3 linked regions of the Xenopus tropicalis genome follow. The protein of the gene in region 2 binds, or shares a complex with, the protein of the main gene of each other region. Links are inferred from orthologs where the notes say so. Each region holds a gene or a part of one and is shown on either strand. Other genes may lie near its edges. The genes, in order: pigu, pigs and gpaa1.

The links.
Region 1: the proteins of pigs (region 2) and pigu are in contact, whole or in part, in a cryo-EM structure (PDB 8IMX), measured with the Homo sapiens proteins. The link is inferred for Xenopus tropicalis from reciprocal best matches to the Homo sapiens genes PIGS and PIGU. Residues at the interface, in NP_149975.1 of Homo sapiens: Ala4, Gly5, Ala8, Thr9, Glu12, Arg15, Arg18, Ala19, Phe22, Phe23, Val26, Leu30, Leu34, Trp35, Thr38, Thr39, Leu510, Leu511, Phe513, Ile521, Tyr522, Leu525, Phe526; in NP_536724.1 of Homo sapiens: Gln118, Phe282, Glu283, His284, Phe285, Leu287, Phe288, Phe289, Cys291, Val292, Phe293, Ile295, Phe299, Tyr300, Ile302, Pro303, Ile306, Lys307, Lys309, Glu310, Thr417, His418.
Region 3: pigs (region 2) and gpaa1 share a complex: the UniProt entries of both Homo sapiens proteins name them as parts of the GPI-anchor transamidase complex. The link is inferred for Xenopus tropicalis from reciprocal best matches to the Homo sapiens genes PIGS and GPAA1.

What each region holds. Positions count from the first base shown.
Region 1 is NC_030686.2:41,151,679-41,158,837, reverse strand, and holds part of pigu (phosphatidylinositol glycan anchor biosynthesis class U protein precursor), read right to left. Parts: coding exon 7,117-7,159; intron 6,358-7,116; coding exon 6,298-6,357; intron 3,392-6,297; coding exon 3,329-3,391; intron 2,641-3,328; coding exon 2,531-2,640; intron 2,018-2,530; coding exon 1,917-2,017; intron 1,730-1,916; coding exon 1,632-1,729; intron 877-1,631; coding exon 722-876; intron 531-721; coding exon 387-530; intron 280-386; coding exon 155-279; intron 1-154. UniProt on the Homo sapiens protein: Component of the glycosylphosphatidylinositol-anchor (GPI-anchor) transamidase (GPI-T) complex that catalyzes the formation of the linkage between a proprotein and a GPI-anchor and participates in GPI anchored protein biosynthesis.
Region 2 is NC_030678.2:34,643,937-34,651,195, reverse strand, and holds the start of pigs (GPI transamidase component PIG-S), read right to left. Parts: upstream 4,304-7,259; 5' UTR 4,121-4,303; coding exon 4,087-4,120; intron 3,989-4,086; coding exon 3,849-3,988; intron 2,480-3,848; coding exon 2,368-2,479; intron 1,643-2,367; coding exon 1,553-1,642; intron 1-1,552. UniProt on the Homo sapiens protein: Component of the glycosylphosphatidylinositol-anchor (GPI-anchor) transamidase (GPI-T) complex that catalyzes the formation of the linkage between a proprotein and a GPI-anchor and participates in GPI anchored protein biosynthesis.
Region 3 is NC_030682.2:151,229,042-151,236,200, reverse strand, and holds the end of gpaa1 (glycosylphosphatidylinositol anchor attachment 1 protein), read right to left. Parts: coding exon 7,137-7,159; intron 6,966-7,136; coding exon 6,864-6,965; intron 5,894-6,863; coding exon 5,697-5,893; intron 5,608-5,696; coding exon 5,411-5,607; intron 4,375-5,410; coding exon 4,221-4,374; intron 3,719-4,220; coding exon 3,647-3,718; intron 3,536-3,646; coding exon 3,339-3,535; intron 2,150-3,338; coding exon 1,979-2,149; intron 1,302-1,978; coding exon 1,058-1,301; 3' UTR 635-1,057; downstream 1-634. UniProt on the Homo sapiens protein: Component of the glycosylphosphatidylinositol-anchor (GPI-anchor) transamidase (GPI-T) complex that catalyzes the formation of the linkage between a proprotein and a GPI-anchor and participates in GPI anchored protein biosynthesis. Binds GPI-anchor.

The sequences.
Region 1 (7,159 bases), on a different chromosome or scaffold from region 2:
TTCCAGCACTCATAGTTGTTATTCAAATTGACCAGAGCCCTTTTTGGCAACACAGCAGTAAGAATAAAATCAACTTTGCCAGGATTTGTTGGTCCAATTGGCAGCACTCTCAGTATTTCCCTCTATTAGTATGAATAAATGGAAAGGCACTTACACCTGGACAAGTGAGCCCACATTGGTAGTAGGGCCATATAGAGAGCCACGTCACCTACAGTGGGGTAGGACTTAAAGATAGAGATGACGGCAAGCTGCATGAACATTAGGAACATAGGATGATCCCTGCAAATAAGAGACAGAAAGTTTGAGCAAAATATAGATTACGGAGCAACATTCATTGTATCATAAGCACAGGTCTGTATCAGCAGCACTACACGTGGAATATTTACTTTAACTTGATGGTGAGAGGCACGATGTAGAAGAAAACATTGATCTGAAAGACGCAGACAAAGAACAGACTGAAGTGTTCGAACATTTCCGCGAAGAAATACCAAAACAGGCCGATATTTGGTGTCAGGTCTGGTACAGAGAGTCTGTAAACAGAAAATATCAAAAGGCATCATATAACACAAATCCCTTAATCACTTTTTATTACAACTACTGTCATACAAAACTATTATTTTGCTTAGTTACTTTAAAGCACTGCAGAATATGTCGGTGCTACATTAATAAAGGATACTAATAATATTTTTTTTTTTTTTCTTTTTTTAAAAAAAGAACTTACATGAAGCCATATATAGAAGGTATGAAATCCCAGGAGTTGAGCAAGAAGAAAGAGTGACAGACTAGTACACACAAACAACCAAGGTACATAGAGCAATACTGGCAGCTGAACAGCCAGAAGGATGGACTCTTCATCTTTATTGGGATAAATTCTTTCTAAAAAATGAAATCAAAAACATAATTACTACACAAAGCCATAGTATATTTTGGGTGCAGACACTAGAATATGTCACTGCCATTAGTACACTTTGGGTCTGGGGGGGACTGAGCCCATAAACATGGCACTGCCATTAGTACACTTTGGGCCTAGGGGGGACCGAGCCCATAAACATGACACTGCAATTAGTACACTTTGGGCCTAGGGGGGGCTGAGCCCATAAACATGGCACTGCCATTAGTACACTTTCGGCCTAGGGGGGACTGAGCCCATAAACATGGCACTGCCATTAGTACACTTTGGGCCTAGGGGGGACTGAGCCCATAAACATGGCACTGCCATTAGTACACTTTGGGCCTAGGGGGGACTGAGCCCATAAACATGGCACTGCCATTAGTACACTTTGGGCCTAGGGGGGACCGAGCCCATAAACATGGCACTGCCATTAGTACACTTTGGGCCTAGGGGGGGCCGAGCCCATAAACATGGCACTGCCATTAGTACACTTTGGGCCTAGGGGGGACTGAGCCCATAAACATGACACTGCAATTAGTACACTTTGGGCCTAAGGGGGACTGAGCCCATAAACATGGCACTGCCATTAGTACACTTTGGGCCTAGGGGGACTGAGCCCATAAACATGTCACTGCCATTAGTACACTTTGGGCCTAGGGGGACTGAGCCCATAAACATGGCACTGCCATTAGTACACTTTATAAGTAGCAGTTGCATACACATCCGTTTCACCAGGCACCTGAAGCAAGTAGAGCAGCGCCGGTGGCAATAAGGTGATTGGATACAGGGACTGATAGGTTGCCACTGACAGAAACACAGCACTCAGTAACCGGCTACCTGAAAAACAAAACAGGATAAAGATTAGTTTTTGACATATACAGCTGTGCTCAACATGAGCAAAATAAAAGCCCTTTCCCCCCCCCCCCCCCCACAATTGCATACTGCTTTAAATAATAAAACCTTTTTAACAAAGGCAAAAGACTGCATGTCTCAGACCATATAGAAACAGTAGGGAGATACACACCTTTCACAGTTGCCAGGATGAAGAGGGCAATAACTGCATTGTTAATGACACACGTAGATTTGGCCACACAGGACAGAACTGTGTATGGATTCAGCAAGTAGCTAGAGAGAATAATAGTGCCAGTGAGAAATTTCCATTGAAAAGGCCCGTGGTTCCAGTTAAAGCAAACCTTAATGACATACATGATAATTTCATGCTTTCAAGCAACAATTTGGGGGAAGACCCTTTTTCTGTTACAGCATAGTAATATCCCTATGCACAGCGTGTGGCCCATAGAAAATGGGTTTGTAAGAACTTGACAGGCCTGCACCGGGCCCTGACCTCAACCCAACTGAACATGTGGGGGATGGATATTAATAAGGCCTGACTCCCAACATTAGTGCCCAACCCCTCTAATGCTCTTGTGAGAGAACAAAAGCAAATCCCATCAACTTCATATACACACCCATGGTTTTGGAGATATTAGACAGGCACAGTCCAGATACTTTTGGCCATATACAGTATAAACAACAAGTAGGCAGTGTTGAATGTATATATTGCTTGTTTGGGTCTCTGTAATTGTAGCGCCAGGGCCTATTTTGAAACCCAGTCCAGACATGTATATTACCACTTACAATAAAGCCACCTTCAATGGTACATAGTACATCTCAGTCGGTACCCTTAGGAGATCATGTCCTTCCTGTGAATATCTCTTCAGCTCCAATAAAAGCTTTTGCTTCTTAAACTGCAGAGGAAAAATAGAACGCCTGCATTAATCCCATTACAAGCAGTTGACAGGAAGAGGCAATACGTTTTTAGCAATGAATCCCTGTGGTGTTGGGTTTATATAAAATCTATGAATAGCTTTGCCCGATAGAGGGGCACCGATCTTTAAGGTTTAAGGCTGAAGGCACAGGGTTGTAATTGCTCTGCCGATACACAGTTGAGACAATGCCTGATCAGCACATAGCTGTCTATATTACACATTGTACAAAGGCATAAACTAAAGATTATGTAGGTCTGTCGCAGAAAAATGATGCTAATAGCTTTTTGGCCACATCCTCTTCCGGGTAATCAATATAACTAAATCCAACTCACTTCCTGTCTGTTTAAGAGGAAACAGTCACTTTTTTGATTTACCTTAGAAAACCCATCATGCAAGTCTCCGTTTCAGACCAGCATCTGATGTTTTTAGCTTCTTACTCTGAAGCAGAGAATAGATTGCCTTCAAATTCTCAAGAGAGATATTACTATGTCCAGCAGGAAGCAGATATTGATTCCTGCTTACAGTAAGATCTGAGCCAAATAAGCCTTAAGCAAAGAACTTTACAGCATTACCTTCCATCTGTTATTTGGAGTATAACTCACTCCAAAATATTCCTGTAGAAATTAACATTTCTGATCCCGTTTCATGAATCTAAAACCAATCTTACCATTAATTTGTTGTAGTCCTTGACGGCAAGGTACAGAGTTATAGCAGTGAGGGCATCTGTTATCTGGGGGGAAAGAATGAGATTTATTGCAAAATACCCACGCCACCGACACACAGGTCAACAAAAACAATATAGCAAGTACAGACAACCTCCGGCTCTGCAAACATCAGGGTTACAGGTAGATGTAGCTCAGCAAATACTTATTGAAACAAAAAGGGCAAAGACACACTGAGCTACAGTCATGTGAAAAGGACACCCCCAAATATTCAGTTCTTTGTTAAGACATACCGATGTCTAATCTTGTTTTTATTTATCTGTGGATTTAATTGCAGGTAAACAAAAGATATCAACACAAATGTGTATTCTGAGGAAAAAGTTAGGACACCATACTCGCTAATAGCTAGTGTTACCCCCTTTGGCTGAAATAACTGCAGTGAGACACTTCTTGTAGCCATCTACCAGTCTCTGGTATTGGTCTGAGGAAAGTTTGCCCCACTCCTCAATGCAGAATTCTTTCAGCTGTGAGATGTTTGAGGGGTTTCTTGAATGTACAGCTCGTCAAGTCACCCCACAGCATCTCAATGGGAATAAGAGCTGGGCTTTGACTCGGCCACTCCAGGACTCTCCATTACTTAGTTTTCAGCCAGTCCTTGGTGGATTTACCGGTATGGTTTGGGTCATTGTTGTGTTGCAGGGTCCAGTTCTGCTTCAGCTTTAATTTTCTTACAGATGGTCTCACATGTTCCTCAAACACCCTCTGATACACAGTAGAATTCATAGTAGATTATATGATAGTGAGCTGGCCAGGTCCTGCTGCAGCAAAGCATCCCCAAACCATGACACTTTCACCTCCATGCTTCACAGTTGGTACGAGGTTCTTTTCCTGGAATGCTGTATTTGGTTTACGCCAAACATGTCCTCTGTTCTAGTGTCCAACTAATTCAGTTTTAGCCTCATCTGTCCAAAGAACATTATTCCAGAAGTCCTGGTGTTTGTCTACATTCTCTCTGGCAAACTTCAGTCTGGCCTTGATGTTTCTTTTAGAGAGCAAAGGTTTCCTCCTTGCACACCTCCCATGCAAGTTGAAGTTGTCCAGTCTCTTTCTGATTGTAGAGCCTGCTGTAGGTCCCGTGATGACATTTTAGGGTTTTTAGGGACTTCTTTTAGCATCTTGCGGTCTCACATTGAACTTGCTTGGACGGCCAGAACTGGGCATGTTGGCAGTTGTTTTGAAAGACTTCCACTTGTAGACTATTTTCCAGACAGTGGAATAGCTTTTAAATCCCTTACCAGACTTATTAGCTGCTACAATCTTCTTTCTGAAGGCCTCAAACAGCTATTTTGATCTTACCATGGTGTTCACTCTCACCTCAACAGCCAGGAGCACACCAAACAAAATGTCTGAGGTTTAGCTGATGCCACACGTGGCGTTTTTACGCTGTGTATTTTCTCAGCCTAAAAACGCCGCACAAGCCACACAGCCCCTGACTATGGTGTTTTTCAGCCTAGTACTGGTGACATAGCAAATCCCGTTTCCATGGTGCCAATAGTGCAAAATAGTAAAAAACGCTGCGTATTTCTGCTAGGTCTGGCAGCTGCCTTTGTGTATACATAGGAATAGCTTGCTGTGCAAATACTGGCGTATTATGGCAAACGCTTGAAAAATCCGTGGTAAGGTGTTTTCTAGCGTATTTACACATTGTGTGGTTTGCTTCGAGTCTTTTCTATGGAAGATGATATTGTGCGTTTTTCAGCCGGCGAGAAAATTAGAAAATACGCAGCGTAAAAACGCCGCACAAGCCACACAGCCCCTGACTATGGCGTTTTTCAGCCTAGTACTGGTGACATAGCAAATCCCGTTTCCATGGTGCTAATGGTGCAAAATAGTAAAAAAATGCTGTGTATTTCAGCTAGGTCTGGCATCTACCTTTGTGTATACATAGGAATAGCTTGCTGTGCAAATACTGGCGTATTTCAGCCAACGCTTGAAAAATCCGTGCCAAGGCTGATGCCACACGTGGCGTTTTTCCGCTGCGTTTTTTCTCAGCCTAAAAACGCCGCACAACCTATACAGCCCCTGACTATGGCGTTTTTCAGCCTAGTACTGGTGACGTAAGCAAATCCCGTTTCCATGGTGCTAATAGTGCGAAATAGGAAAAAACGCAGCGTATTTCCGCTAGGTCTGGCATCTGCCTTTGTGTATACATAGGAATAGGTTGCTTTGCAAATACTGGCATATTTCGGCCAACGCTTGAAAAATCCATGCTAAGGCGTTTTCTAGCGTATTTCCGCATTGTGTGGTTTGCTTCGCGTCTTTTCAAGTTATTTCTATGGATGATGATATCAGGCGTTTTTCAGCCACTGAGAGAATTAGAAAATACGCAGCGGAAAAACGCCACATGTGGCATCAGCCTTAATAGGACAAACCTCCTTCACAATGCTGAGTAATGATGTTCTTATCATGTGCACCTGATGTGATACACCTGTGGGTGATTTTAGCCATTTAAAGCGGGACTAAATGTGGGGGTGTCCTGATTTATTCCTCACCAGAAATTGCATTTTTGTAGAATTACATTTTACAGAAGATTTTGAAAAGTCTTTTCTTCAGTTTTAATTGGTTAGTTATATTACTTGAATCTCCCAGTATTGTTAAAATGTAGATGAAATATCCATATCTCCAAGAATACAAAAATCATAGGGTGTCCTAATTTTTTTACATGACTGTACTTAGTAGCAACTACTTGTCATGGCTACTAATCCCCAGAAAATAAATGGGAAAGAAAAACTGTCAAGGTTGGGGGTTGTTTCTCTGGAGAAAAGGTGCTTGTGAAAGAACACGTTTGGGACAGCAGAGCCACCTGGAGCTCTGTCAGCTGTTCTGTTCTTTCACCATCCTTGCCTCCCATAAAGCAGACTTTGCCTGTGCCCCCCTAAATTAAATAGAGACAAAGGTACGGTTATACACTTACCATGAATACTATCTCTGCATAGTCTACAAGGAAATGGAAGAGATATAAAATGAGCGGCGTCTGTTGAAAAAAAACAAATGTCAAAATTAAATTTTTGAATCTAACTCTGTATTATTCTAAATACGCATGTGACCTACACTTCCTATGAAACCGTAGCATTGTTTTGGACACTTACTACTCAATATATTTAATTGCAGGTACAAACATACACCCACACAAACCAAAATTAAGCAGTGGGCGGCGCTCAGCCCACAAACAAGAGTCAGAAACATACAAACTAAGCTAGATAACACTTATCTACTAGAGTTCTTTCATGTAATGCAACTGTGGATTGCATTTAACTAGAGCTTCAAAATATGAAAGCTTTAAAAAGTAAAGCTGGCCATACACGAGCAGATCCGCTCGCTTGGCAATGTCGCCAAGCGAGCGGATCTTCCCCCGATATCCCCACCTACGGGTGGGCGATATCGGGGAGCATTTAGGTAAAAAAAATAATCCGATCGTTTGGCCCTGGGGCCAAACGATCAGATTATGTGGGCGGCAATGGGGCAGTCGGATCGGGGACCGCATCAACGAGCCGATGCGGTCCCCGATCCGACCGGATTTTCTAACCTGGCCGATCGAGATCTGGCCAATCTCAGGCCAGATCTCGGTCGGCCAGGCCGCTCTGCTCTCCCCAGACACGTGCCGATTAGCTGCCGAATCGGTCCAAGGGACCGATATCGGCAGCTATAGTCGGCCCGTGTATGGGGACCTTAATATACCGTGCATAGTGTAAGCATGTATTTATGGGTATCTCATGATCAATGAGATTCTTACCTCATGAAACAAATCTCCTGAGTAAGGGGACACGCCAAGGTCC
Region 2 (7,259 bases):
TAAGCAGTTCAGAAAGAGTTTCATTAATGTGCTTATTAACAGTCAGTTCATTAACAGTCAGTGGATTTCCTACCTGCCACATAAGTTTTTACACAATTTAAGTAAATTGCACAAATTTAGTAGTGGTTCATAAAAGTAGTAAAATAATTTGTTAATAAGTCAGTCTTTTAACTGGCAGTCAGTAGAGTCTATACGTAGGTTATACAAGTTTCTTTGAAAGTAAAGTAAGTGTTTGCACAAGTTAAGTAAATTGCGTAAGTGTAAGGACCCAATGATGTTGCTTGGAGCCCAATAACTAGTCATTCCTCTGCTGAAACTTCATGTAGGAGGCACTAATAAAATGCAGTAAATAGCTCCCAAAATAACCAGCAGATGTTTCACTATAATAATCAGTTCATATAAATAGTTAAAATGAATAAATGTGCTAATTAGTCAGTCACTTCATTGGGGGGAAATAGAATGTACCTTTAAGTTGTTTAATTCATTGGTGGTGAGTGGAGTTTGCCCCTTCTCTGCATTGTCTTTTGCTTGTACCCAAGTTACCTAAGTTTCTAGGCAAGTAACGCCAGGTTTCTAGGCAAGTTTTGCATAACTTTCGCACTGCGACCAGGCCCCCTTCCCGAAGCAGATTTTCATGTGGCCTGGCACAAGTGTAACCCTTCTACCCCCCCCCCCCCCCGGTGGCAGCCCTGAATACACAGGTTTCCTTTCACTACAAGAGTAAGGCTAATGCCATGAAAATCTGCCCCAATGTTGGCATCATCCTTCCTCCTTGCTTGCACCTGGAACTACTGTGTTAGCCAGAGTGCAGGCACGAGCATTGGATTTTGCATACGCAAGCATTTCCACACAAAATCTGACTTAATGGTTCCGGGTTTTTTGTCTGGGGTAACATACTGGGCATAAGAGAAAGATCCTAGGATGGAATCTTTAAGAAAGGACATTCATTAAGACTGTAAGAAAGACGTTTTCACTATAATGATGGGAACTATTAAATGGATTTAACTTTCCAAGGGTGTGGTATAAATGAGATGAGATAGGGCCCCTGCAGACACAAGAACATTTTATTGGGAAGTCAATCTGGTCCCAGCTTGCAGCATACATGCTCCTGGTTTGTGATTAAGACCAAGGTGCCAGGGACCTTGGTAACAAAATTTCTTATCAAAAACTCAGGCATTCAGTTTGTTTACAAATTGTTCACAATGGCTAGTATAATAATCACAAGTGCAGTTTCTTTATCAAATAGGTTTGACATTTTGCACAATTTGCCCAAAGAAAATGATGATTTTGTTGCACATCACTCCCCAGCATTTCTCCGTATTCCGTTTCACAATTGTATTGTACTAATACTAACTAACTACTAATACATATAGGGTTTAATGGATTTGCAAATCACCCCATTCTTTTTATTTACATTTTACACAGTGTCCATAGTGTTTTTCTCTGGATGAAAATAAAAGTGCTATGTAAAACAATAATCTTATTTTACCAAACATTTTTTCTCCTCTTGGAAAATGGGTGGTAAAGCATTTTATTAAGAAACCACCAGTACCTTGCAAACTCTTCAGACCAAGTGCTTCCTCCTCATCAACGCTTGTCCTTCTATACTTGAACTCATAGTGACGGGTGATACTTGTCTGAGCTGATTAAAACAAACAAAATTAACTGGAAAGATTATACATGTATGGAGCACACAGTTTCCAATCAACAGGAAATAGATAAGCAATGAATACTACAGGGGTATAGCTTTATTATTATGAATGCCAGTGTCTAGAACAGGTATCAGTTTTCTGGAAACCCATTATCCAGAAAGATCTGAACTGTGGGAAGGAGAAATCCTATGGACTCTTATTTTAAGCAAATAATTCTAATGTTCAAAAATGTCTTTTTTTACTGTAATTTACTTTATGGTAGCTATGCTGCATGAATCCATATTGGTGTCAAAACAATCCTACTGGGTTTATTTAATCTTTAAATACATTTTTAAGGTATGCAGATCTAAATTAAGGAAAGACCCTTATATGAAAAAGCCCAGGTTCCAAGCATTATGAATAAGAGGTCCAATACCCATACTCCAGTGGCATTTATATGTTTCTTAGGAACTGTTAATTACTGTATAATCAGGCATTCCAAATGTCCTGTGGGCACTATGTATTGGACTTGGCTTCTATAGATTTCTCTGTATTTGTTCTGTCTCTTTTTTTTTTAGTCCTTTATTTAAAAGGAATATGAATTGCCTTATTCCCAATAACTCACTCTTGGTTATAAATAAATATCTATTTCTTACAGTGACGCCCATATATGCCATATATGACTTTGCCTACAGAGACAATAATAAATATATGTCTGCTGAAAACATTTACTTACCATTTAGTACAGTCTCTGTCTCCTTTAAACCAGTTGAGGGAACGTTCCTTTGTTGCTCTGCAGTCAGTGTTGCTTTCCCAAATATTATCTCAATTGGCACAGTAAGATGGAGCTAATTAAAGAACAGCATGACAACAGTTACAAAAGAGCCCCTTAAGATTGCAAGTCCTTGCAGGCAGGGTCCTTATTGCCTACTATACTGGTTTGTAGGTATGTACAGTGCTGTGGATATTGGTGTGTACCCTTATGTACAGTGTTATGGGGGGGAAAAAAAAAACGCTGCACTCCGTATTTTCTAATTTTCTCAGCGGCTGAAAAACACCCGATAACATCATCCATAGAAATAACTTGAAAAGACTCGAAGCAAACCACACAATGTGTAAATACGCTAGAAAATGCCTTAGCACGGATTTTTCAAGCGTTGGCCGAAATACGCCAGTATTTGCACAGCAAGCTATTCCTATGTATACACAAAGGCAGCTGCCAGACCTAGCGGAAATACGCTGCGTTTTTTGCTATTTCGCACTATTAGCACCATGGAAACGGGATTTGCTACGTCACCAGTACTAGGCTGAAAAACGCCATAGTCAGGGGCTGTGTGGCTTGTGCGGCGTTTTTAGGCTGAGAAAAAACGCAGCGTAAAAACGCCACGTGTGGCATCAGCCTTAACTGGACCCTCGTCCATCATTGAGTGCATTGCCACGGGGCTCACATAATTAAATGATGTAGTCTGCTATAAAACACACCCTATCGCTTTTCTGTCAAAAGACATAGTTGTTCTCCCATGGAATACAAAGACCCTAAGGCAGGGATCCCCAAACTTTTATACGTGTGAGCCACATTCAAATGGAAAAAGTTTTGAAGAGCAACGCAAGAATTAAAAAAAATTCCTGGAGGTGCCAATGACAGCTATAATTGGCTATTTGATAGCCCCTATGTTGACTGTAAGCCTACAGAAGGCTCTGTTTGGCAATTACACTGGGGTTTATCAAAGCTTGTCTCCTAACCAGAAATTCAAAAATAAGCACCTGCTTTGAGGCCACTGAGAGCAACATCCCAAGGGGTTGGGCAAGCAACACATTGCTCACGAGCCACTGGTTGGGGATCACTGCCCTAAGGGAAGGTTACCAGATCACTGGAAAAACCAGGGAAAATGCAGCCAGAAGGGTTTCACTGATTGCAATTTCATTTAAACACAACCAACCCTGCAACATGCATTCATTAGATGCGTCTATGAATTTTCAAGTGATCTGGTAACTCCATCCTAAGCTTAAACCAAGCTTGCATGCAGCACTGTGTATACAGACCCAGGAACAACTCAATGCACTCCATTATGGCAGCACAGGGAGTTGCATATGTCAGCAGTTTTCTGCCTATTGGGAGACCTTGATCTGGCTGTCAATAGGGATGTCCAGATTTGTAGTTAAAAAACAGCAGGGTGGGAAACCTCTCGGCTACTTGCCCCTATCCCAGGATCTCACCTGTAAGGTTTCCAGCCCTCTGATATCGGAATAAGGCAGAGAGGCGCGGTACGTTTCGGTAGTTTTCCACCACAAAGGAAGCCCCAAAACGGCAGTAATCAATGCGATTGAAATCGCCACTTTCTTCCCCCGGGAAGCCTCTTTTCAGAAAACAAGAACAAATACTCAGTCAGCTACTGCGCCACATGTATACGGCGGCGCGCCTTCCCATACACTGAATTATAACAGCACCACTTACCGATAGCATCAAAACTTCTGACGGGCGCCGCCATGTTTGCTTTCTTCTTCCGCCTTGTCAATGCGGCTAGTTGGTGATTTGCAGAAGTGTAAGCCAATCAGGCGTCAGAAAGTTTCACGTTAACCAATCAACGGTCGCAGAATATTGTAGCCTCGAATTGTCACGCAGAGTCTAGGAAAGCTGTAGGAAACCCAAGGCGGTCTGTAAGGCGGCTCATTTTATCAGCCGCTTTATTTGCTAAAACAGTGTAGCCAGCTTTGGACTGCGTTTATGGCGTTGTTAAGTGTTTAATGTAGTGTAATTATCTCTTTACACAATTATCAAGTAGAAGTATACTAGAATTATTGTTGTACCACACAGAGCAAGTCACACTTTTTTGGAATGTTGAATTGAAAACTAAATCCCCCAGCTATTACTTGCTTTTTTAAGCGTTGTTCTTACCTTACATAATACTAGTGTAAATCTCCCTGGGTAAGTGAAACTGGATTGGAAGGCACTCATGTTATGTCAGTGGGCGGGGCTATAGAAATAAATGTAGGAAGAGCCCCCACTTCCTCCAATGCGTTTTGGTTAGTGCCCCGGTTCTAAGTGGAAGATTACAAGTTATCTAGCTTTGGTTGCCTCAGGGGAGGAGGGTAACATTTTTGTGTGGAGATACTACCAAAATAAGGCTTTCCATCAGCAAACTTCTAATTATATAGGCATACAGGGTTTGTTGAGGAAACTAAGCGTTTCCCAATTCTCATAACTCCCTGCCTACCTACAACATTTTACAAATGTCCAGGACCAGACTGTCTAGACCAGGGGTAGGGAACCTATGGCTCGGGAGCCAGATGTGGCTCTTTTGATGGCTGCATCTGGCTCGCTACTAAATCTTAAATAATAAAAAAAAATAATGGGGGTCATGGCCTGCGCTCGGCGGATAGAAGACATGTTCTAAGCCTTCTATTCGCCAAGCGCAGGCCACGCCCTCCTCTGCATTACATCCGCATCCGGCATCCTTGGGACCCACCCGACCTTGCCCCGCAGCATCCGCGGCCAAACATATTGTATGGCTCTCATGGAATTACATTTTAAAATATGTGGTGTTTATGGCTCTCTCGGCCAAAAAGGTTCCCGACCCCTGGTCTAGACTCTATGGCATCTCACAGAAGCCCCTCTGGCATTTGCCAGAATCCACAGATTGCCAGTCCACCTAGGGACCATGTTGAAAATTTTCCAACAATGCACTTACCAGTTTGTAATACCCTGGGCACCCCTTCTCAATCTGACCTGTTCCGTGGGCCCAATTAAATCTTTTAAGCTATCACTTCTCTCTTTTGAGGGTGTTTTTATAATCTTTTGCCTATGATTAAGTATCATGTGAACATAAAACGTGTAAGACAATTATCTGACTCAGTGAGATATGCTCATTAAGTATCTGCTCTCCATTATACGGTGATATCTGCTCTTCTAAAAACCTAATGCAATTTGCATTATTTTTTGTTTCAAAGCAATTAAGCTGTTTTTAAACTGCTTCCTTGTGTCTTTCCTGAGCAGAGCAACATCAAAGGAGTTCTGTGTTTTATTTTTTTTTTGTAACTTAAAAAAAAAATTTTTTTTTGTACAAACTGTTTAATGTCTCTTTACATTATTTGTACATTGTTATATTTATAACATTTATAAACCAAAAAGAGGAAAAGAAAGTGTAAAAAAAAAAGGCAAGAAAAGCAAAACAGGAACAAAATAAAGGACCGTTTTTAACGTGGAGTTATAGAGGGGCAAGGTGAGGCAGATTTTGTGGTGTTGTCACTGGATTTGTTTTAGTGGCGTCAGTTTCTCCATGGGGGAGATGCTGGTGTGGGGCTCTCCGCTTGGTTTCATTGAGTGGCTTTCTGAGAAGGCCCAATTTTCAGGTAGGCGGAGTGTTATTATTTTCCATGGTTTGGAAGTAGTCCCAACTATCCCAGATATTATGTCTTTGTAGTGTGTTGGATATTTGTGCTGTCATTTCCTCAAATTTTCTATTGTTTTCTACCCTGGAAATGACTTCTTGGATGGTGGGGACTACTGTAGATTTTCATTTAGCAGTAATTGCTAGTCTAGCCGCAGTGGCTATTTGGTTAACCTGTTTTTGGGTCGAGGTGGTGGTCTTTGGGAGGGGGAGTCCCAATAGTAAGTGGGATAATTCTATATGTATTGGTGTTTTTAGGACTGTTTGTATCAAGTTGCCCATTTCCAGCCAAAAGTTAGAGATTTTGGGGCAAGCCGAAAAAATATGGTGTAGCGTACCTCTTTGGTGGCAGTCTCTCCAGCACATGTGGCTGCTATTGGGGTAGATTTTGGAGATTCTGTTTGGGGTAAGATACCATTTCATTAACACCTTATATGCACTTTCTTTCTGCTGGGTGCAGACTACCATTTTGCTGTGTTTTACTTTTGAACTTACAGTGGTGTGAAAAACTATTTGCCCCCTTCCTGATTTCTTATTCTTTTGCATGTTTGTCACACAAAATGTTTCTGATCATCAAACACATTTAACTATTAGTCAAAGATAACACAAGTAAACACAAAATGCAGTTTTTAAATGAGGGTTTTTATTATTTAGGGAGAAAAAAAATCCAAACCTACATGGCCCTGTGTGAAAAAGTAATTGCCCCCTGAACCTAATAACTGGTTGGGCCACCCTTAGCAGCAATAACTGCAATCAAGCGTTTGCGATAACTTGCAACGAGTCTTTTACAGCGCTCTGGAGGAATTTTGGCCCACTCATCTTTGCAGAATTGTTGTAATTCAGCTTTATTTGAGGGTTTTCTAGCATGAACTGCCTTTTTAAGGTCATGCCACAACATCTCAATAGGATTCAGGTCAGGACTTTGACTAGGCCACTCCAAAGTCTTCATTTTGTTTTTCTTCAGCCATTCAGAGGTGGATTTGCTGGTGTGTTTTGGGTCATTGTCCTGCTGCAGCACCCAAGATCGCTTCAGCTTGAGTTGACAGATGACCGGACATTCTCCTTCAGGATTTTTTGGTAGACACAGCAAGCCTTCCAGGTCCTGAAGCAGCAAAACAACCCCAGACCATCACACTACCACCACCATATTTTACTGTTGGTATGATGTTCTTTTTCTGAAATGCTGTGTTACTTTTACGCTAGATGTAACGGGACACGCACCTTCCAAAAAGTTCAACTT
Region 3 (7,159 bases), on a different chromosome or scaffold from region 2:
CTCAAGTAGCAGGTCCCTGGTTCAGGTTGTTCCTGACATAAATAACGGCACAGTGAACAATAACTTTAGATCCTAAATACAGTGAGAGGCAGAGGGTAGTGACACCACAAATGCATTAGATACAGTGATAAGCAGTGGCAACTTTAGCCCCAAATACATTACACAGTGAGAGGCAATGGTTCCTGGCACCCAAGATCCCCACTTACCCTTCCAAAAGTCAGGTTACCTAAAGCCTGGAGATGGTTTTAACATTGTATAGGCTAAAATGAACTCTGGAATCAGTAGCATTGTTACAAATGCTCCTATGCCCCATCTAGTGGTGGATATGAGAATAGTTGGCTGGTACCAAGGGAAAAGGATCAGGCACTGTTGACTGTTACCCCAATGTTTCTATATATCTGTAACCTTGTTATGGGCTAAGGGGGCCCAGCCTGAAGGCCAGTTAGGGGGGGATTGCATTTGGGGTGAGTGCATACTTATGCTCGGGGAACACTACTACTTGTTTGCCCAAGTCAATATGTTATTAAGCTCTTGGTTAAACAGAAATGAGTAAATACTCCTGAAACTCCCAGCATCCTCTCTCTGACCCCCGGCAGTCCGACAGCCTCAGACACGAGCAGAAAACAACAGAATATTCTCCAAAAACAAGTCTCTTTAATACACTTTCAATTCAAGGCTGTAGATTTCAAGTCGTATCATTTCCTAGTGGGGAGTGAGGGATAATATTGATTTTGTCTCTATATATTGGGCCGTTGGGTTGTAAGAAGCCGGATTCACAGCCAAATGCCGACTGTCAGCTCTTGGGAGTCACTGTCTGAACAAAACAAATATAAATAAGTCCGTACAACCCAAACCTTCATGCACAAGTTCTGTCTCCTCTGCTGCCCTGTAACCCTCTCCATTACCCGTATAGTCAGCGCTCTCTAGCGAGACACACAGCTGGGTTCAACCTGGCCGGGTCTCTCAGCCAATAGCAATAGGACTTCTGGTTCCGAGAGTCCGACCTGGCCACAGTCTAGTTAAGGCCAGAGAATGGAGAGATATTTTTGCCCCCCTCCTATTTCCAGAAGACCACGTTCCAGAGCTGCAGCCAGCAGGGGTAGACGAAGAACGCAATGAAGGGGAAGAGCAAAGAGCCATAGAGGTAATGGTCCAACATGCCCCCGGCGATGGCCTGAAGGAAGAGCTGCCAGCACTCCAGCAAGCTTACGGGGTACTCGATCAGCTCCCGGTACAGGAAGATGCTGCCGAGGAGAGTGGTTGCCGGGGTGATCAGGACCAGGAGGAGCGCATACAGGGCCCTAGGGAGAGAAGAAAGGGTTAACACCATGCAGTGTGGGTGGGTCATAGCCAAGACCTGTTTATTCTTAGTGAGTTTCCATACAAACACTGAAACTACTGAAATAATATTGTGTAGAACCAAGAACCTTCCTCTATGGAACATAATCTCATTACATTGGGGCCCCCCAGTCGGATATTAGGGACACACCGACTCCCCGATTTGGCCACGATTTGCCCTTTTTGGCAGGATTTGGATTTGGCTCAATCATAAAAGGGTTTGCTCAGCTTTGCGTTTACTTTTAGTAGGATGTAGACACTGCTATTCTGAGACAGTTTGCAATTGGTCTCCATTTTGTATTATTGTTTTTGAGTTATTCTTCTTATTTAGCAGCTTTCCAGTTTTGGCCCAAATTACCCTAGCAACCATGCGGTGATTTAAATGAAAGGCTGGAATGCACATAGGGGAGGGGCTGAATAGAAAGATAAGGAATAAAAAGTAACAATAACAATAAAACTGGAGCCTCACAGAAAATAATACAATAACCATAAAAAATAAATAATGAAGACCAATTGCAAAGTTGCTAGAAATAGAACAATAATTATTAATTGCCGGGCGGGACTGTGACAGATCAGAGACCACACAAGACCAACAGCGGCACCGTTACACAGTGGATCGGAGCAGAGGATTTCTACTCACCTTGGCCCAGTAGGTTGCACAATGGCCGCCACAGGGACGATAGTGACCGCCAGCAGGAATCCCAGGGAGAAGTTAATGAGGGAGATGCAGCCCAGAAGGACAGCGAGGTACAGTAAGGAGATCAGCTTGAGAGTCATCCAGCCCTGGTCCGACCCGGCGCCGCTCAGAACTCTGTAACGGCAAAGCATCAAATGGCTACTGCACTGCTTATACCCCTAGCAGCCTGAGGGGCAACACCTTACGGGGTAACAACGAAGCACAAGGGGGCAGCCTGAGGGGCAACACCTTACGGGGTAACAACGAAGCACAAGGGGGCAGCCTGAGGGGCAACACCTTACGGGGTAATAATGAAGCACAAGGGGGCAGCCTGAGGGGCAACACCTTACGGGGTAATAATGAAGCACAAGGGGGCAGCCTGAGGGGCAACACCTTACGGGGTAATAATGAAGCACAAGGGGGCAGCCTGAGGGGCAACACCGAAGCACAAGGGGCATCAGAACCTCGTGTTTGGGCTCTACATCCCTGAATGGGGGGGGATTTATCGTTAACTTGCTTTGTTGGAAGGTTTAAGCTTCCTATGGAAGCTCAGAATAGTAGAGGAATAGAATAGTCACTGACAGCCTGTCCTTGGCACATGTTCAAAGGGAAGTTAATCCCCTCATTGGTTTCTATTTCACCCAGTTTCAAGGGGAAATTAATCCCCTCATTGCTTTCTATTTCACCCAGTTTCAAGGGGAAATTAATCCCCTCATTGCTTTCTATTTCACCCAGTTTCAAGGGGAAGTTAACCCCCTCACTGTTTTCCATTTCACCCAGGTTCAAGGGGAAGTTAATCCCCTCATTGCTTTCTATTTCACCCAGTTTCAAGGGGAAATTAACCCCCTCATTGCTTTCTATTTCACCCAGTTTCAAGGGGAAATGAATCCCCCCATTGCTTTCTATTTCACCCAGTTTCAAGGGGAAATGAATCCCCCCATTGCTTTCTATTTCACCCAGTTTCAAGGGGAAATGAATCCCCCCATGGAAATTAACGTTCCGCTTAAACTTGAATTTTGAGTTTTAACAATTCAGGCATTATCGTGCCATTTTATAATTACAGCAGCGATCGAGTTTAATTCGAATGTATACATGTTGAGTTTATACGACTTTCAAGGCCAAAAGGCAACGAATTTTATTAAGTCAGGCCTATAGTGTTGGTGCTAGCCTCTGTGGCTACTAGCAGCTAAGGCTAACGTGCCCAGGTCACTACATGTGTGCATTAGTGGTCAGTAGCTGTGCCAATCATGGGTGCTGCCAGCCCGCTGCCACTGCCTACCTGCCCACAAGGGCCCCTCAAGCTGGCGCAGCTGTGGCTCAGTACCTGTGTGTGTTGTGGGGCAGTGCAAGTCCTGCCACGTAGATGGCGATAGCGGTGAGAACAACGGCCTCGGATTCAGAGACAGGGAAGTGGTCAGTGGCCATCTCCTGGCTCATTACTGGCAGGTAGTACAGACTCAGGCCGGTAGCGTGGCAGATCACAATGGGGGTCGCGAGGGACAGGATTCCGGGTCTTGGATCCTACAGGAAGAAACAGATAGATGTATATATATATTACTGTGCTGGGGGGTCAAAGTGGTTGTTTCTCGTAGCCCTTTTGCCTCCTCTGATCCCTTACAGACCCAACGGTACCTGCTCTGTATCCATGACTCCGTCCTCAGCCGTCCCATCCGAGCGCCTCAGCTTAATCCACAGGTCCAGGGAGTAATTACATCGTTAAGGAGAAAGCAGGGAGCAAATAATTCAAAAACAATATAAAATAAATAAGGAAGACCAATTGCAAAGCTGCTTAGAATTGGTCATTCTGCAACAGGGGTGGGCAGACTTGGAAATGCGGAAGTGCGGCGTGAATGCGTATGTACGTGACTTCCGCATCCCCGGCTTCATCGAGGCCCACCAGAAATCCACGGGTGGACCGTGATCGACGTATTGGCCACCCCTATTCTACTACATACCCAAAAGATGAACTGCCCCTTTAAAGTTTACTTTTGTTCAGCTTTAATAGAAAACCTTCCACTTTCTGCTGGCTGTGTAGGAGAACTTACAGTCCCTCCCACTGTAGGAAGGCAGCCAATCAGCAGCTAGGCAGACCGAAGAGGAAACCGCAGTTTATCTTTCTGTATGTAGGTAGCACTATGACTGGCTACCCATATCCAACTGTGCTCCAGGGGGACAGTACAGCCCCCGGGGTTTGGGGAAAGGATATCCTGAGGATCAAAATGAGGATGAAGAAGCCGATGGCCGGCATGTAAATCCCGATGGAGACAAAGCGGGACAGGCACGGCAGCAGGTAGAAGAAGTACGACTGGTGCAGGCGCTCCGAGAGGTTGTTCAGCTTCCGGAACATTCCTTCCAGGGTCCTATAGAAGAGAAAAAATGATGGTGTCAGCAAGTTAAACAGCACATTTAAGTAATGAACAGGGGACGCAAACCTAAAACATAAAAAGCTGGGGAGCAACACAAGAATAAAAAAAGGTACCTGGGGCTGCCAAATAAGGGCTGTGATTGGTTATTTGAAGCCCCTATTTGGACTGGCAGCCTACAGGAGGCTCTGTTTGGTCTTAATGCCTCCAAAAATTCAAAAATAAGTACCACCAGTTGGCGACCATTGCACTAGCATATTGCGAGGGAGTCAGAATTCTAAACAGTCACCAAAGATGCCCAAGTTGGGGCTGGAAGTTTCCACATCACTATGGAGACGTTTCCAGAAATGTATCCACAGGATTTACACATGATATGATGTATGTATGTAAGTATGTATGTATGCAAGTATGTATGTATGCAAGTATGTATGTATGCAAGTATGTATGTATGTATGTATGTGTGTATGTATGTATGTATGTAAGTATGTATGTATGCAAGTATGTATGTTATGTAAGTATGTATGTATGTATGTATGTGTGTATAAGCCAGGGCTGGAACTAGGGGTTGGCAGAAGAGGCAGCTGCCTAGGGCGCAACGATTAGGGGGCGCCAGGCAGGAGCCTCTCCTGCCTACCCATAGTCCTCCTTCTTTGTCATTGCCCTGCCGCTTGTCATTAGCGGTGGGGGCAATGACCCATAGAATTGCACACACCCCCCACGAACTGTGTATGCGCACCAAAGCACCATAAGAACACGCTGCTCTATGACAATGAAGGAGGACTAGGGGTAGGCAGGAGAGGCTCCTGCCTGGCACCCCCTAATCGTTACGGGGGGGGCATGGTTGCCTAGAGTGCCCGCCCCTGGTTTAAGCCACTAAAAGTCACCTGGGTTGTGAGGAGATACTGAGAACAACTAGATTGTGAGGTGTACGAAGCTTGAAAACTGTGGTACACCCCCCATTCTAGTCATTCTCAGTAACTCCTCAAACCGCCAGTGAGGATCAAGGTGACAGTGGGGGAAGATGGCCACTTACTTTCCCACTGTGTTCATGTCATATTTGTACTGGCGGAAGCTGTTGATGCCCCGCAGGGTGATGGCTTCGATGTGGTAGCGCAGGAAGAGGCCGTGGTCCCCTTGGGGTCTCCCAGAGCCCTGTTTCAGCATCATGATCAGCATTGTCTGGAGGCTGTGCAGGTACCCGGGGAAGGTGTCGAAGTCAGTTCTCTGAAGCTGAATGTAATAGAGAGAGATCAGGGCTGAGCCAGGCAATACAGGAGCACAAGGAAGTGCAACAGGAAAGGCAATGGGAGCGGCCTGACCTTGCCCTGAATGGTGCAGAGCAGCGTGTTCTTCTGGCAGAAGGCGTAGAACAGGTTGACCAAGTCAAGGTTGGGTAGTTGCCCATTTAAACCTTCCACCACCAAATCGAAGCTGGTGATCACGTCGCTGCTCATCTCCAGGGAAACGGCGGCCTGAATGGCTCCGGCCCGACCCAACATCACCGACGACTTTATCTCTGCAAGGACATGAGTGTGAGGGAGATCGGCAAGGCATGTAATACTCTAATAATTATCTACTCTATTAATGAGGTAGGAGCTGGGCTGCGTCAGAGCATTAATCAAGCACCTTCCACCTACAGGAAGGCAGCGCAGGCCAAACCGCTATGTGCGAGTACCAATAACTGGTTAACTCCATTATTGAAGAGACCTGCGCAATTGGTCTACATTTGTTGTTATTTGTGTTTTTTGAATTATTGACTTTGTGTTCAGCGGCTCTCCAGTTTGGAATTTCAGCAGCTATCTGGTTGCTAGGGTCCAATTTAACCTAAAAACCAGACCGTGGTATGAAAGAGGCATGGGCAATATGAATAGGGGAGGGGCTGAATAGAAAGATAAGGAATAAAAAGTAACAATAACAATAAAACTGGAGCCTCACAGAGCAATAGGGTTTGGCTGCCGGGGTCAGTAACCCCTATTTGAAAGCTGCAAATGAAGGCAATTAATTAAAAAAACTGGAAAAAAAATAACACCAATTGAAAAGTTGCTAAGAATAGACCATTCTACAACATAGTAAAAGGAAAAGTTTACCTTTAACTCTAGTAATAAGTAGAATAATAAAGGTCCCCATACACCTACGGGTGGGCGATATCGGGGAGTGTGTAGGATATTTCGATCTTTTGGCCCTCGGGCCAAACAATCAAATTATATTGGCGGCAATGGGCCAGTTGGTTCGGACGCCGCATCAATGAGCCGATGTGGTCCCCGATCCGACTGAATTTTCTAATTTCCAATTTCAGGCCAGATATCGGTCGGGCAGGCCCCTCGTTTCTGCCCCTACACGGGCCGATAAGCTGCCGAATCAGTCCCAATTGGCCCGTGTATGGGGACCTTAAATCTCCTACCCACAGCCTGAAGGTGTACAGGGCCCCGTGACGAGCAAACACTGATATCCACCAAGGTGCCCCGGGGCACGGAGGCATCACATACCTGTCACATTCACATCATGGTAGCCCTCCAGCCAGGCCTCCATCCCAATCAGATCGTGTTCGTTCACCAGGAAGATGATGTCCTTAGCCCAGTAGATCTGCCCTTTGAGCACAAAATTAGAAATGAATGGCTACGTTTGGCTCCACATACAGTGCCAGCCGCGGCACCCAAGGGGGGAAGGGTGCATGAAGGGAGACTGGACCCGTGCGCAGGAACATGGTTACCAGGAGGGCCAGTACCATAGATTGCAGGCAGCGCATTTGGATCTCTCACCTCTGAAGTACGATGCCAGCGCC